Linked DNA regions of Arabidopsis thaliana. The protein of the gene in region 1 interacts with the protein of each later gene in a pairwise test. Each region holds a gene or a part of one and is shown in the gene's direction. Other genes may lie near its edges.

Region 1 (7,801 bases):
ACCAGCACCAATTTTGGCGTTAACGACAGCAAAACTGGAAGAAGAGGAAAAAGAAAAAGGACAAGAGGAGCAAGTGCCGCGCGTGTACATCAAGACGTTACTCGACCGGGTCATGAAACCGGAGCAGCAAGACGCGATGATAAGACGGTGGCCACCTAGCCAAGTTTACGAATTGGAGAGCGACCATTCTCCTTTCTTCTCTAACCCTTTTGTTCTCTTTGGTTTACTCATCAAAGCTGCCGTTTCCGTCGGTTCTATCTAAAACTATTTAAAGAACTAAAGGATTGCCTTTTGTTGGTTTTAAAACCGGTTAAGTGATCAGTATTGTCGAGGGAGTGTTTATTTATTTTTGATTTTTGTGACATTTTGGTATTTTATATTAATCGTTTTGAAATAAATTATGTTTTGCTTAATTTTATCTTGCGTCACAAAAGTGAAATAAATTTCGGCAAATCGTGTAGTTTTATATAAATCACTAATTTGCAGTCTTCCAAGGTCTACTTAAAGTCCTAGCCGGTATCGACACCAACTTCACAGTTACCTCAAAAGCCTTAGACGAAGAGAATGACTCCGCTGAACTGTACTTGATGAAATGGACAACATTTCTAGTCCAACCAACGACTCTGTTCATCACAAACCTTGTAGGAGTGGTTGCAGACTTGCAGTGTTTGATTTTGCCTAATAGTTGTTTGTAGTTGATGTCTTAAGGGAACATAGGCAGCGTTTGATTTTGCCTAATAGTTGTTTTGAGGGATCAATATATTACTCGATTCAATCCAATTTTCATACCATATATCAAGAAAGATGAACAACAAGAGTCATTGTCATGAAACCCAAACATTTATTTAGCAAAAGAGTTTCAGAAAAACTGACTCAGAAGATTCCCACAAGAGTTTTTGTGAAATTTATAGGCTTGAAACAAAAGAAATTACTTCAAACTGTCAGGTTCTTGTAGAAAAGGAGTGACTTCATGCTTCAGAATCTGTGCTCAAGCTTCTCCTGTTCCTTGAAATACTGAGCATACCTGCATTCATTGTGTGTATTTGAAAGAATAAGCACAAAAGATGACTAGAAACTAGACCATAATATGCAGCACCCGTAATGTTTAGATCGATCAGGTAACTAATAGCTTCACAAGCAAGAACTCAACAGTTTTAATAGAACCACACTAATCAGCTAATGATTACGACTAAGCCATTTAAATCCTCAACATCTTGAAATGCAATTCCACAGAGTGGTTCATCAACAATACTAATTTGATACCTGGAAGACTTTTTCTAGCTGAGAGTCTCTATATACTACACTCCACTTAATACTCATCTCAAACTAACTTAAATCCTATCATTTCTCATTTGTTCCTATGACACAAACGAAGAACCCTATATCCATATGCGCCGCACAAGACCGATGACACAGATCGAAGAACAATCAACCAGATCGGAACTCGATCCAAAGGTTCCTTTACCAATCGATTGATGAGAGAGATAGAAAGAGAGATAGAGTACCAGTAGGTTCCAACGACAGGGGTAACGAGAAGAGTGGCGCTGATCCAATTCTCAGAGACCTTGTGGTGGATCTTCTCCGGCAGATCCTTCCAGAGACCGGTCATGATCTTCTGCTGAAACGGAGAAAGTGCGTAAACCACCGCCTTCAATTTCACCGGCTGCTTCCCCATTTTCTTTTTCTCTTCCCAGATAATCCCAACAACAACAATCCACAGTACGAGAACGAATCTCCCCCAAAACCTAAAATAAACAATTCTCAACGAAGCTTATGTTTTTTATCCGATTCCGGTTCAGTTACAATTACAATTGAACCGGATGACCGGCTGCAAAATTTATCCTGATTTGTTTCGGTTCGATCCGGTTTGAGTAAACCGAAATAGATAAATCACTAGTCCAGACATAAATGATGATGATGATACAGCTAGTGTTCCGGAGGAGAAGGACGATCGATCTAAGGAGACGATGAAGATCTTCCACGTTCCTTGTCTGCAAGACAACTACTCTTATCTGTGAGCCATTTTGATATCCTACTTCAATTTCGTTGCTTCTTAATCTGACTCGGTTCATCATCAGTTTAGGATTCTTTCTTCGTAAAAAAAAAACAGGATAATCGATGAGAGCACCGGAGACGCGGCGGTTGTGGATCCAGTTGATCCGGAGAAGGTGATCGCATCGGCTGAGAAGCACCAAGCTAAGATCAAGTTCGTACTCACTACGCATCATCACTGGTAAGTAAACCTCACTTCTCTCTATGTCACTGGTAACTTATCTTATTTGATTCATCTCCGAGATTCTCTGTTGGTTCTTATTACTCAGTGATATCGACATATGCTAGATTCCGGTCCTAGACATTAACATTAGTACAAGTCTATTGTTAAATCTCTCAGTTTTCTGATCAAGTGTTTAGCTTTTTCCTACTATCAGTTTCAACTGACTTAGAGATTCATCTTCGTGAGTCTGATTCTTTGTTAAAGTCTGATACTTTCTGCATTAATGTTTCACCTCTTGAAGATGCAAGATTTATTATATATGTACCATATGATGGTTGCCTTTGTCTTCGATGAAATTTGGATTTGAGGCGACGTTTTTATTTTAACACTCATTGTTTGATTGGTGGCTTGATATGATCAAAGGGATCATGCCGGTGGAAACGAGAAGATTAAGCAGTTGGTTCCTGATATCAAAGTATATGGAGGTTCTCTGGATAAGGTGAAGGGTTGCACTGATGCGGTTGATAATGGTGACAAGCTGACTTTGGGTCAGGATATTAACATATTGGCTCTCCACACTCCTTGGTTTGTTTTTTTTTTTTTTTTTTTTTCCAATGAATTTAGATGCATCTAATCTACTTGATGTTTAACTCAGTCATTTTCTCTTGTCATCGCTGATTCCTCTGATATATCTACTTGTTACAGTCACACCAAGGGTCACATTAGTTATTATGTGAACGGAAAAGAAGGAGAAAACCCAGCCGTGTTCACCGGAGATACACTTGTAAGTGGTAACATTAAGCTGAATCCTCTTGTTCTTCCCTACCATGGACCCTATATGTTCTCCGTAGATCTTTTATCTCTGTAAATGTCTAAATGGAGATAGTTATGAGTTAAACATTAAGCTGTGTTTACTTTGATTTTATACAGTTTGTTGCTGGATGTGGGAAGTTTTTTGAAGGGACAGCTGAGCAGATGTATCAGTCGTTGTGTGTGACTCTGGCTGCATTACCTAAACCGACACAGGTTTACTGCGGCCATGAGGTAAAAAAATCAACAGCTTCATTATGTCTTTTGAGTTCTTAACTCATAAAAATGGATGCCTATAAACTGAATAATCCGCTATTCATTTCTTATGGTTCTCAGTACACCGTTAAGAACTTGGAATTTGCTCTAACTGTGGAACCAAACAACGGGAAGATACAACAGAAGTTAGCATGGGCCCGTCAACAGCGCCAAGCAGATCTTCCCACAATCCCTTCAACACTGGAGGAAGAGCTCGAAACAAATCCATTTATGCGTGTTGATAAGCCAGAGATACAGGTTATTACTCCATTTGGTTCATCTTCTTGAACAATTCATGATTCGGTTTTATCAGCTATCACTGTTGATATCGATCTTTACTTTCTTGTCGTATATCGAGATTAACTTTGTTATTTTCCAGGAGAAACTCGGTTGCAAGTCGCCAATTGATACAATGAGGGAAGTTCGGAACAAGAAGGATCAGTGGAGGGGATGATGATAAATGGAGAGCTTCTTGCCTATGTTTTGTGTACTTGTGTTGAATGATCCTGTAAAAGGTGTATGAACCAGTAATGTTGATATTCTGTGTGAAACTGTGAACCGGTTTGGTAAACCGAAATCAGACCGACCTGTAAGCCGTACTCCCTTTTTGAATTTTCAGTTTACTATGGATAATAATTTCAGTGTCTACACTAATCCCCGTAAAAAGAGAGCTTCTTCATCTTCTAGCAGTCGTCCCCGTAAGAGAAGGTAATCTTCTTACCGCAGAATCCGTTGGATTTTGCCTTCTGTTGCTTCAGATTCGATTCTCGTAGAAGGTTGTCTTCGTACCTGCATTGTATCAAAAACCCTTGTGATCTCTCCCCATTTATACGAAAAACTTCACCGAATTTGCCTTTGATAACAAAAAATCTCTTAAAGGCAAAATAGTAGTTAAAAAATCCCTTACCAAAGCTTCTCTGCAAGCTTGTACCTAATTAACAAAAAATGATAACGTTAATCTTCTGTTATGACATCAAAACTAGAGCAATAACATGGAAAATCAATGTACATGTGTTGGAGAGGGTATGGAGCTATCTCAGCCAGCTCAAGAAAGATTTTGTGATAGCGCAAACTTTTACCATTCCTCTGTTCCAGCGCCTACAGTATAAAAATATTTCATCAAAACAATTTCATCATATAAGTAAGTATACACTAGTTTTCATCATTGCTATAAAAACTACTCACCTTCTCTGCTTCATTAGCAGAAGCAAACTCAAAATAGCCACAGCCCATATGCTTACCCGATTGGTCAACAATAAGTCGAACACGAACAACTTCAAAGTCTTGGAAGAAATACAACCTGTAAACATGAAGAGGATAAAACATCAGTCATGAAAAACTTGCTCCAAGAACGAAAGAGTAAACTAAAGGTGCTACTTACATCCTTTGTATACTAGTTCTAGGAGGGAGATTGGTAACAAAAAGCGTCTTTTTTCTTGCTTCCTGTATTTAGCAGCCAAGTGTGTTAGCATGGCTCTAAGGAGGTAACAGTTTTGTTATCAAACACTTGAGCATTTCCCCTCTGAGCCTGACATATTTTGAAGATGATAACAACACGCGTACCTCAACAAAATAGGGAGTTTCAGCAAGTCCTTCCACTGCTGCCTCATCTCTTTCTTGTCCAAGGTAGTCTTCGTACCTGGAACATTAAACAACCCTTGTGATCTCTACATGTATACCAAAAACTTCACCCAATGTGCTCTTGATAACAAACCCTCAAGATGCAAATAGTTGAAAATTCCTTACCAAACCTTGTGATCTACGCACCACCTAGTTAAGAAATATAATATTAGTGTTAGTCTTCTGTGGTGGCAATAAGTTGACAGCAACAAATCTCCATAACATGGAAAATTAATTTACTTGGGTGGAGGGAATGGAGCTATGTTAGCCGCCTTAAGAAAAATCTCGCCATCCTGCAAATATTCACCCTTCTTCTTTTCCAGCGCCTAGAGTATAAATAAACGGTTTAACTAATCAAATGACTGCGACTTGTATACATTACTTTTCATCAATTACTAGAAAAACAACTCTCACATTCTCTGCTTCCTTAGCAGAAGCAAACTCAACAAATCCCTTGCCCACATGCTTGCCAGTGTGGTTAACAATTAGTCGATGCTGTAAAAAAGTGGAGGATAAAATATTAGTCATGAGAAACTTGCTCCAATAACGAAAGAGGAAATCTTAAGGTGCTACTTACATATCTGATATTATAGTCTGGGGAGTAAGATGGGCAACAAAGAGCGTCTTTTTTTTACTTGTGGCAACAGCCTGCGTTTAACAGCCAAGTGAGTTAGCACGACGCAAAGAAGAAAAGGACTTAAGGTTGCACAAAAAAAAAACACAAGATTTCTGTTATTATTATTAAAGGTTTCTGCTGAGCCTGACATATTGTGAAGACAACAAGAAGAGGTACCTCAGCGAAATCGGGAGTTTCACCATGTCCTCTCATCAAAATGATCTTATGACCATGAAAATATTCACCATTCTTGTTTTCCAGCACCTACAGTATTAAAAAGATTTAATCAGCTATCCAGCTTTCAAAAAACTAGTAGTATGTTTTTCATCATAAGTTTGTATACACTAATTTTCAAAATGACTAGTAAAATACTAAAATCGTCCATCATGACTACAAAACCAGTCTCACCTTCTTTGCTTCGTTGGCAGAAAGAAACTCAACAAAGGCACAGCCCACAGGCTTGTCCTCATGGTTTGCAATAAGTCGAACACTAACAACTTCTCCAACATCTTGACAGAAACCGAAGCTGCAAAAGTGGAGGGTAAAATATGAGTGATGGGAGAGTTACTTTTTCTTTGCTCAGAGAAGAAAAGTGGGAGTGCTACTTACATATCTAATATCTTAGTTTGGGGGGAGAGATTGGCAACAAAGAGAACTTCCTGTGCATTATACAGGAACAAGTGTGTTAGCAGGAAACAAGGAAAAAGTAGCTAGCAAGATTCAGCCCCAGAAAATAAGTAAACATTTCGAGCGTTTTGAAGATAATGAGGGCAGTAGGGTGGTACCTCAGCAAAATCGGCGGGAGGTGTCTCATCTTCTTGTCGTGGAAGGAAGTCTTGGTACCTAGAAAAATGGAAAACGCTAGTGATCTCTACATGTATACAAAAAAACTTCAAAAAAAAGTCTTGTTCCCTTACCAAACCTGGTGATCTATGCAATACCTAATTAATCAAAAAATGAAAAGCCTTAGTCTTCTGTGATATTGTATCAAAAAGTCTAGCAATCAGTTACAAAACGTGGAAAAATCATGTTTACTTACGTAGGAAGAGTCAATGAAGAGCTTAGCTTAGGCACTTTAAGATAAATCTTGCGATCGAGCAAACATTCTCCATCCTTCTTTTCCAGTGCCTAGAGTGAAAAAAACGTCAGAAAATAACCTTGGATACGTTTAAACATATAACTAACTATACACAAGTTTTCAAAGAAAAAAAAAACTGGTCTCACTTTTTTTGTTTCATAGGGAGAAGCAAACTCAACAAAGCCAGAGCCAGTACGCCCACCATCTCGTTTTATAGCAAGTCGAACATGAACAACTTCTCCAACATCTTTGAAGAAAGCGACGATATGTGATAATGGGGCTCGGTGAGGGATACGGCCCATAAAGAGCGTATTTTTTTATCACGGAAGCTTCCTGAATTTAACAGCCAAGCAGAAGTTTGTGTTAGCATGACGAAAAGGACAAAACAAAATTGCATAAGGAGAGGTAGCTACCTCAACAAAATCGGGAGTGTCATCACGTCCTTCCACAGTACTTTCCTCCTCCTGTTAAGCGAGTAGCCGTTGGAACAGATTTTGGAGAACAAGATGCTTAATTTGAACATAATAAAACTTATTACAATATTAAACCTTGAGAGAGATTAAATTAGCTTGATCAGACTTGTGCTGGAGGCTATCAGCAAGTCCTTCCGGTGTCTCCTCCTGTTACATTCACATACATACATACATAAGTGGTGTATGTATTAAAAAAAAAAAGTGGAGTGATCCGACGTTACTTTCTTCTCCTCGTCCTTATGTTTCTTGAGAAACGGTTTGGTCTCCAAATCATCATCTTCCGGATTTCTCTTACCTAAAAGAAGAGCAGATCAATGGAAAAGAAAAGAAATAAAATCAACAGCCAAGTAGATAGTAGCTCAGAGCCACTGAAAACAAACCACATAAATTAACTTCCTTGCTAGAACTGGCCATGGAGACGGTGAAAACAGCGCCAATTTTGTTTTCCGGCAAGGCAATTGACTCAAAGTTATAATAACAACCCTAGAAAGAAGGTAAGATACTTGACAAAAAAGAAAGAAAGAAGGTAAGGTATTCATAACAACAATAATCTGGTTTGGGCTAGGCCTGGGCTTTTATTGCCACCAACCAATCTGGTTTCATAACAACAAAATAATCTGGTTTGGGCTAGTCCTGGGCTTTTTTCCACAACCAAGCAAGATTCAATTCAAGTCTGGGATCAAGTGTGTGTGTGTGTGTGTGTGTTGTGTTAAGTGATCCTGTAAAAGGTGTAT
Region 2 (6,980 bases), on another chromosome or scaffold:
CGTTACGTATTTCTTCTTGTACAAAGCTAACATGCGGGGCATGTTAGATTCCGTGCGACAAACTAAAAAGTATGATTTGATTGATAATTTGATATAAAGAGCTCGATTAGACTTGTTGATTGTTTTCTTATCTAAGGATTTTATGCATCCATATATTCATTATCAACTATGAACTATCAATGAATAATATTTCCAAAGTATGATATTTAGTAAATTAAATTCTGAATTCCTGATAGAAGGGGGAAAGTCTTCACCCGATTGATGTTCGAGTTTTTGGAGAAAATATAATCAAACTTAGCTGAGTTAGAAACTCGTTATAATACATGTTCTTTACTTGGTTTAAAAAAAGCCACGAATTGATAAATCAATACTTTTTAACTAACGTACATAAAATTAATGAGAACTGAGAGTTCAAGACTAGCTAGATTTTTTTTTTCATTTTATATACAGCGAACTCATTGCTTACACTTTCAAAACTATAAAAACAAAATTTAAAGGTGCTGTAGAGAATAGAATCGCTATGTAAGTATAAACTTTAAGGATGGCATTAATATCTTATATACATCTGGCTCGTGGTATTTTGATTGATGAGAAAAGAAAGCAAAAAAAACAAAAGAACATAAATATAGAAGTTAAATTAGCATACTGATTGATGGGTACGGTATCCCTAAATCATCACAATTTTTTGCCCATATTATTTATTGTTAAAGAGGGTATGATATTTAGTCTCACGACCTTTACTTTTTGTTTGATGTTTTTTTTTCTAGATATAAAGAGCCAGCATTTTATTCACCAGTTGTTGGATTTCCCTAAAAGAGATACCCTTTCGTGATCGCATGAGAGCAGACTGGGGAGATACATATATGGAGTAGGGGCGTAGGCTGAAGAAGCAATAGCTAGCCACAATAAAAAGAAGAACAATAACAGCTACAAGATCATCAAGGGATCAATTATGAACCGAAACCAAATTGATATTCTTTAGTGCCTCCGAACCTCACATATCTACTGCATCCTTACGAGATATTTTGGTCGTTGGGAAAAAAAAAAAATATATATATGTTTTGATCAGTTTACGTGTTTGTCGGAACAATTTAGAACTGCTTTTATTCCATGTTTGGTAAATATATAAACTCTTATGGATACCAAGAACTTAACTTAGTTTTCTCTAATGAGTTCTCTAACATTGAATTCCACGCGACAGTAACTGGACGTCTGAATTCATTAATACATATATAATCTTTAATTAATGTGAGAGAAATGTGTTCATGATCTAGACGAGTAGCGACAGCGTCATAAGAACTTAGGTACAGTCACATATTTATAGACTTGGATGACGTGTAGTTCTCTCTCTTTATGGCTTAAAATTAAATTATATATCACATGAAACACCTCTCACTTTTCTGTTTTGGGGGCAAATAAAACATATCTCACTTATTTTCGAAGTATCTTGATAGTTCCACACATTCCGTTTTCGATCGATAGAAAAAAATTGGACCAGTTTATGATTAAAATACCGCACACAAAAGACTTCACGTACGTTTTTGCTTTTAAGCATTAGAAATACGGGCAAAAGACGCGAAAGTAAGTTAGATAGATTCGGGAGGAGTACTGTGATTGGATAAGGTATTGACCAAGTACCGATGATCCGACCGCCTCCACGTGGTCACACAGCTTGGCTTTCACTTTCATGCTCTGACCTTTTGACCGCACGTGACTTTTGTCTGTGCACGTGCGGACCAAGCTAACGTGTCCGGTTCAAGTACATTGCACCGAGCCCTGACTCGCCAGGTTACGCCGATGAAAACGACGGTTCCTGGGTCCCACATGCCATGAGGATGGACGGTTCCGATCCACTTCCTACTTTCCTACTGAGATTGGTCCCACCATGGTTCAGGCCACATGCGTCCACGTTGAGGGAGCTTAGGTGTTACTATATGGGTGCAGTTAAAAATTAAGACAACCAGTCACGGTCCGATATGAGGTCATGCATTAATGGGTCGGATCGAGTTTAGTCAGTTCAATAAATTAAGATGAATAAGTCAATAATTATTTGAATGGGTTGATGCAATTGGTAAGTGTTTTCAGGATTATCGTTTGTTTCCCAAACAATTTTTGTAAATTAAAAGTTTGATATCATTTGTATGAAGATGATATATCAAAAAAAAATTTTACTAATACATTACTCATTCTAAATCAATAAATTATCAGTGTCTAGTTGTCTTTTTCTGGTATATTTTTTTGTCCATGTTAGAAAAAGCGTAGTTCTAATTAGTGATTCACCAAATTCGACATAAGGCAACAAAGTGGAGTACTTATCAATAATTTTTGAAAATATAAAGTAGTAGTATCAACTAATTTGACATTTTGATAATTATCAGCTAGTCTTATCACATTAATGGATCATTAACTTTCTCCAAACTTATCATCAAAAAGGGTCCACTCCGTTTTACGATATTTAAAGGAGTATACATGGGTAGATCTCACTATCTCAGTATAGAACAAAGGACCATTACCTAGATTGATTGTTCTACGTTATGCGCCTTATGCCCTCTTGACAATAAAAGTGAATATAAAGTACTTTAGTAGAACATTGATTCTTTGATATATAATTAGCTCGGGTTTAGCAAGATAATTTAGTAGCAACCAAAAAAAAAAAAAAACACATCACAAGCAGAATTAATCAATTGTTGTTCTGCAGCGCTTAAAAGTGACTAATTCTCTTCTTCTTTTTCTATAGTAAAGATGGTTCGTATCCGTTTGTTTATTATAGAACGTGGGTTCTTCTTAGAATATTGTATTCGCAAGCCATATACTATATATCTATTTTAAATTATTATACATTATATTTTTACAAAATTAGTTGACAAAACTAATAATAATACTATACATGTAAATTTTTTTTCTTTTCTTCTTCTATATAACTCACGTTCTGCATCCAGTTTGAATATGAATAATAACATATATCAGCAGCACTATGCAAATCACAAGCCTACAAATATCTAGTAATAATGCAAGTTTATACTAAGTTTTACAATAAAAAGATGCGTAAGTAAATTAAAATTCTAAATAAAATGACCTATAGTAGTATTTTCTCAAGTAAGAGAAGACTAAATAGTACTATTTCTCATTTTTACTTATACGAAAACCTTTTAATTAAGTTACTAAAACCATAAATAAGTTAGTAACATGATAATAACATTTATCAAATAACTTTTGTTTAAACATAACCTCCACGCGCCTTAAAGGGAATGTAGGATTCGTTTTAATCCTTGTGTACCCAACTTCCACTTGACATTTTTTTTTTTTTTTTTTTTTTGTTAAATGATACGTTTTCTTTAGCTCGTATATAATAGTATCTGATAAACAAATTGACCAAATGTTATCTCTTCTGTTAATCTTATCTCATGCTTTCAAATATAAGAATTCCTTCTCTAAATTTCTTTTGTATTATCCGATTGGAGCCAAACAAAAACTGCGACGAACCCCTAGTTTTCTTTGGTAGATCTTATGTAAGGATAACCACTTACACACATAAATTTTTTTGTCGGCATTTGTGTATATGTAATAAATAGTATTAATTTACTTAAAAAAGAACATATTATTCAAATAATAATTATTATATTAATGATATAATAAAGGGGACTGTTTCTCCGCTAAATTCTCGGTGTATGTCTTTGCTTTTACTTTCCTCGTTCAATGAGAGGACCAAAAATTTATTGCAGAGTCGCACATGAATCTCAAGCTTCTCTCTCCTTTTTTTCCCATAGCACATCAGAATCGCTAAATACGACTCCTATGCAAAGAAGAAGCTACTTCTTTCTCTTGCCCTAATTAATCTACCTAACTAGGGTTTCCTCTTACCTTTCATGAGAGAGATCATTTAACATAAGTCACCTTTTTTATATCTTTTGCTTCGTCTTTAATTTAGTTCTGTTCTTGGTCTGTTTCTATATTTTGTCGGCTTGCGTAACCGATCACACCTTAATGCTTTAGCTATTGTTTCCTCAAAATCATGAGTTTTGACTTCTCGATCTGAGTTTTCTTTTTCTCTCTTTACGCTCTTCTTCACCTAGCTACCAATATATGAACGAGCAGGATCAAGAATCGAGAAATTGATTTGAGCTGGCGAATAAGCAGTGGTGGGATAGGGAATTAGTAGATGCGGCGGCGATGGAAGGCGGTTACGAGCAAGGCGGTGGAGCTTCTAGATACTTCCATAACCTCTTTAGACCGGAGATTCACCACCAACAGCTTCAACCGCAGGGCGGGATCAATCTTATCGACCAGCATCATCATCAGCACCAGCAACATCAACAACAACAACAACCGTCGGATGATTCAAGAGAATCTGACCATTCAAACAAAGATCATCATCAACAGGGTCGACCCGATTCAGACCCGAATACATCAAGCTCAGCACCGGGAAAACGTCCACGTGGACGTCCACCAGGATCTAAGAACAAAGCCAAGCCACCGATCATAGTAACTCGTGATAGCCCCAACGCGCTTAGATCTCACGTTCTTGAAGTATCTCCTGGAGCTGACATAGTTGAGAGTGTTTCCACGTACGCTAGGAGGAGAGGGAGAGGCGTCTCCGTTTTAGGAGGAAACGGCACCGTATCTAACGTCACTCTCCGTCAGCCAGTCACTCCTGGAAATGGCGGTGGTGTGTCCGGAGGAGGAGGAGTTGTGACTTTACATGGAAGGTTTGAGATTCTTTCGCTAACGGGGACTGTTTTGCCACCTCCTGCACCGCCTGGTGCCGGTGGTTTGTCTATATTTTTAGCCGGAGGGCAAGGTCAGGTGGTCGGAGGAAGCGTTGTGGCTCCCCTTATTGCATCAGCTCCGGTTATACTAATGGCGGCTTCGTTCTCAAATGCGGTTTTCGAGAGACTACCGATTGAGGAGGAGGAAGAAGAAGGTGGTGGTGGCGGAGGAGGAGGAGGAGGAGGGCCACCGCAGATGCAACAAGCTCCATCAGCATCTCCGCCGTCTGGAGTGACCGGTCAGGGACAGTTAGGAGGTAATGTGGGTGGTTATGGGTTTTCTGGTGATCCTCATTTGCTTGGATGGGGAGCTGGAACACCTTCAAGACCACCTTTTTAATTGAATTTTAATGTCCGGAAATTTATGTGTTTTTATCATCTTGTGGAGTCGTCTTTCCTTTGGGATATTTGGTGTTTAATGTTTAGTTGATATGCATATTTTGGTTTCTCGTGTTTATTTCTTTTCTTCTCATATCTTCGGTAGATGTTACATGTTAGAGAAATGCATGTGTCTCGTTATGTTAGAAAATTCCTTTCCATATATGGCTTTCTTTTATTCATAGCTAGGGTTTCGTGTTGTACCCTATAACTATTATTATAATTAGCTCGATTTGATAGATATATAGGTCTAGACTATTCAATAATGAGTTCGTTTGTTCTTTTAAGAATTTTGAGCTTCACGGCGTATTCTTGATGAAATATTATGTGGGCACATCTCAGGCGCTCATTTGAATATTTTTACAATACGTCAATACGTTACCTTAATCATAGTATAATATAGTTCTTTCAACTTTTTAACAACCTCAATGTAGTATTCATTATAAGGTTAGAAAATTATTATACATATTGATCAATATATACGTTTTGTGCATCTAAATTCATTATTCGTACCATTTGAGTACTTGTAGCGTCTTTTAGCCGAGTATACCTTTTAAGATCACAACTTCTGTGTCATATCTATCTATCTATACGGTGTTATTGTGTTAAGAGTACTGTCATATATACCCATCTATATATAAGGTGTTAAGAATATGCTTACATATTGATCAAAACGTGCATCGTTCTAAATTTTGTAGTTAACCACTTGCCTGATTAGAACGTCTTTTTAGCCGTTTGTACTTACAGTTGAAAATTCCATTGATTGGTGTAATTGGCTATTTAATTACGACAGGGCCGTCTAAGCGATCTCGAGTCTTACCATCTAGGAAAACAACATGGGCAATTTTTAAACTATTTAGCGTTCATACAGTTTCTAGTGTTTTAAAAATACTACATGTATACCTAGTGGCCATGTTATGACCTTTTTCATTCGATCACTACAGTTACTTAATTACATGCATAAAATATGCATTAATGCTTCAGTTAATTAACCGTCGATCCTGTAAAATAGTTGTATCCAACATTATTCAAAGACAGGTTGGCAACAAGTACGTAGCTTTAAGCTAATATTTATAGGTCACATATGCACAGTACCATTTATGTTATAATCGTAGTTTTTGGTTTGAGATTTCCAACCCCTTAATTTTGGCTGGTATGGAGAATTTGTCTCAACTCTCAACCAACACTTCAAATACATATTCTGCTCTTTCTCAATCTATATATATTTCTGTCCCAACAATTTAAATATATATATGGAATATGGTTTTATACCGGTTTATATATTACTATTTTCGTGTTTCTTCGTCACTACAAAATATGAGTTTTTATATATATATATATATATATTGATAAAAAGAACGAGTAAATGATATTGGGGATACTTGTCTAACTAGAGAGATAAAGAGTGAAATTCTATATTCTGCTAAAACTAATCATATTCGTTAAATAGAATGGAATCATTATCTAACATCCCACTGAAAAGTAAACAAATTCATTCATAGAAGAATATGCTTCTGCTATTATGCAAAATATATAACGAGGGGATTACTTTTATTTATTTCATATCTCATACTACATCTTTATTATTTTCCATTTATTCATCTAATCTTTAACCATTTTTAGAGCATAGTATTGTTTTTTGGGATTTTAGTCAATGTATATTGGTTAAAGACAACCGTTACAGAGCACAGTAGAAACATGAAGTAGAGATTATCTCACGTACGTCGGTTACATACAAATTAGTGAACTTAACATGGTAAGATTAACAATGAACATAAATCATTTGTAGTGTCAGTTAAGAGCTAGTCTCTGTCACAACATAACAAAAAATGGGGT

The links. The genes of interacting proteins can lie anywhere in the genome.
Region 2: the proteins of GLY2 (region 1) and ESC interact in a two-hybrid assay, tested with the Arabidopsis thaliana proteins (one large-scale study listed by BioGRID).

Annotation. Positions count from the first base shown.
Region 1 is NC_003074.8:3,393,689-3,401,489, reverse strand, and holds GLY2 (Metallo-hydrolase/oxidoreductase superfamily protein), read left to right. Parts: upstream 1-1,728; 5' UTR 1,729-1,967; coding exon 1,968-2,014; intron 2,015-2,110; coding exon 2,111-2,233; intron 2,234-2,638; coding exon 2,639-2,800; intron 2,801-2,920; coding exon 2,921-2,999; intron 3,000-3,145; coding exon 3,146-3,259; intron 3,260-3,361; coding exon 3,362-3,538; intron 3,539-3,659; coding exon 3,660-3,734; 3' UTR 3,735-3,941; downstream 3,942-7,801. Other genes in the region: MES17 (methyl esterase 17), read left to right, coding at 1-262; AT3G10860 (Cytochrome b-c1 complex, subunit 8 protein), read right to left, coding at 976-1,024, 1,506-1,675; AT3G10845 (RNA-binding (RRM/RBD/RNP motifs) family protein), read right to left, coding at 3,964-4,069, 4,188-4,211, 4,290-4,378, 4,466-4,580, 4,662-4,723, 4,844-4,919, 5,141-5,226, 5,315-5,395 and 9 more. UniProt on the Arabidopsis thaliana protein: Thiolesterase that catalyzes the hydrolysis of S-D-lactoyl-glutathione to form glutathione and D-lactic acid.
Region 2 is NC_003070.9:7,268,854-7,275,833, forward strand, and holds ESC (Putative AT-hook DNA-binding family protein), read left to right. Parts: upstream 1-3,702; 5' UTR 3,703-4,170; coding exon 4,171-5,106; 3' UTR 5,107-5,219; downstream 5,220-6,980.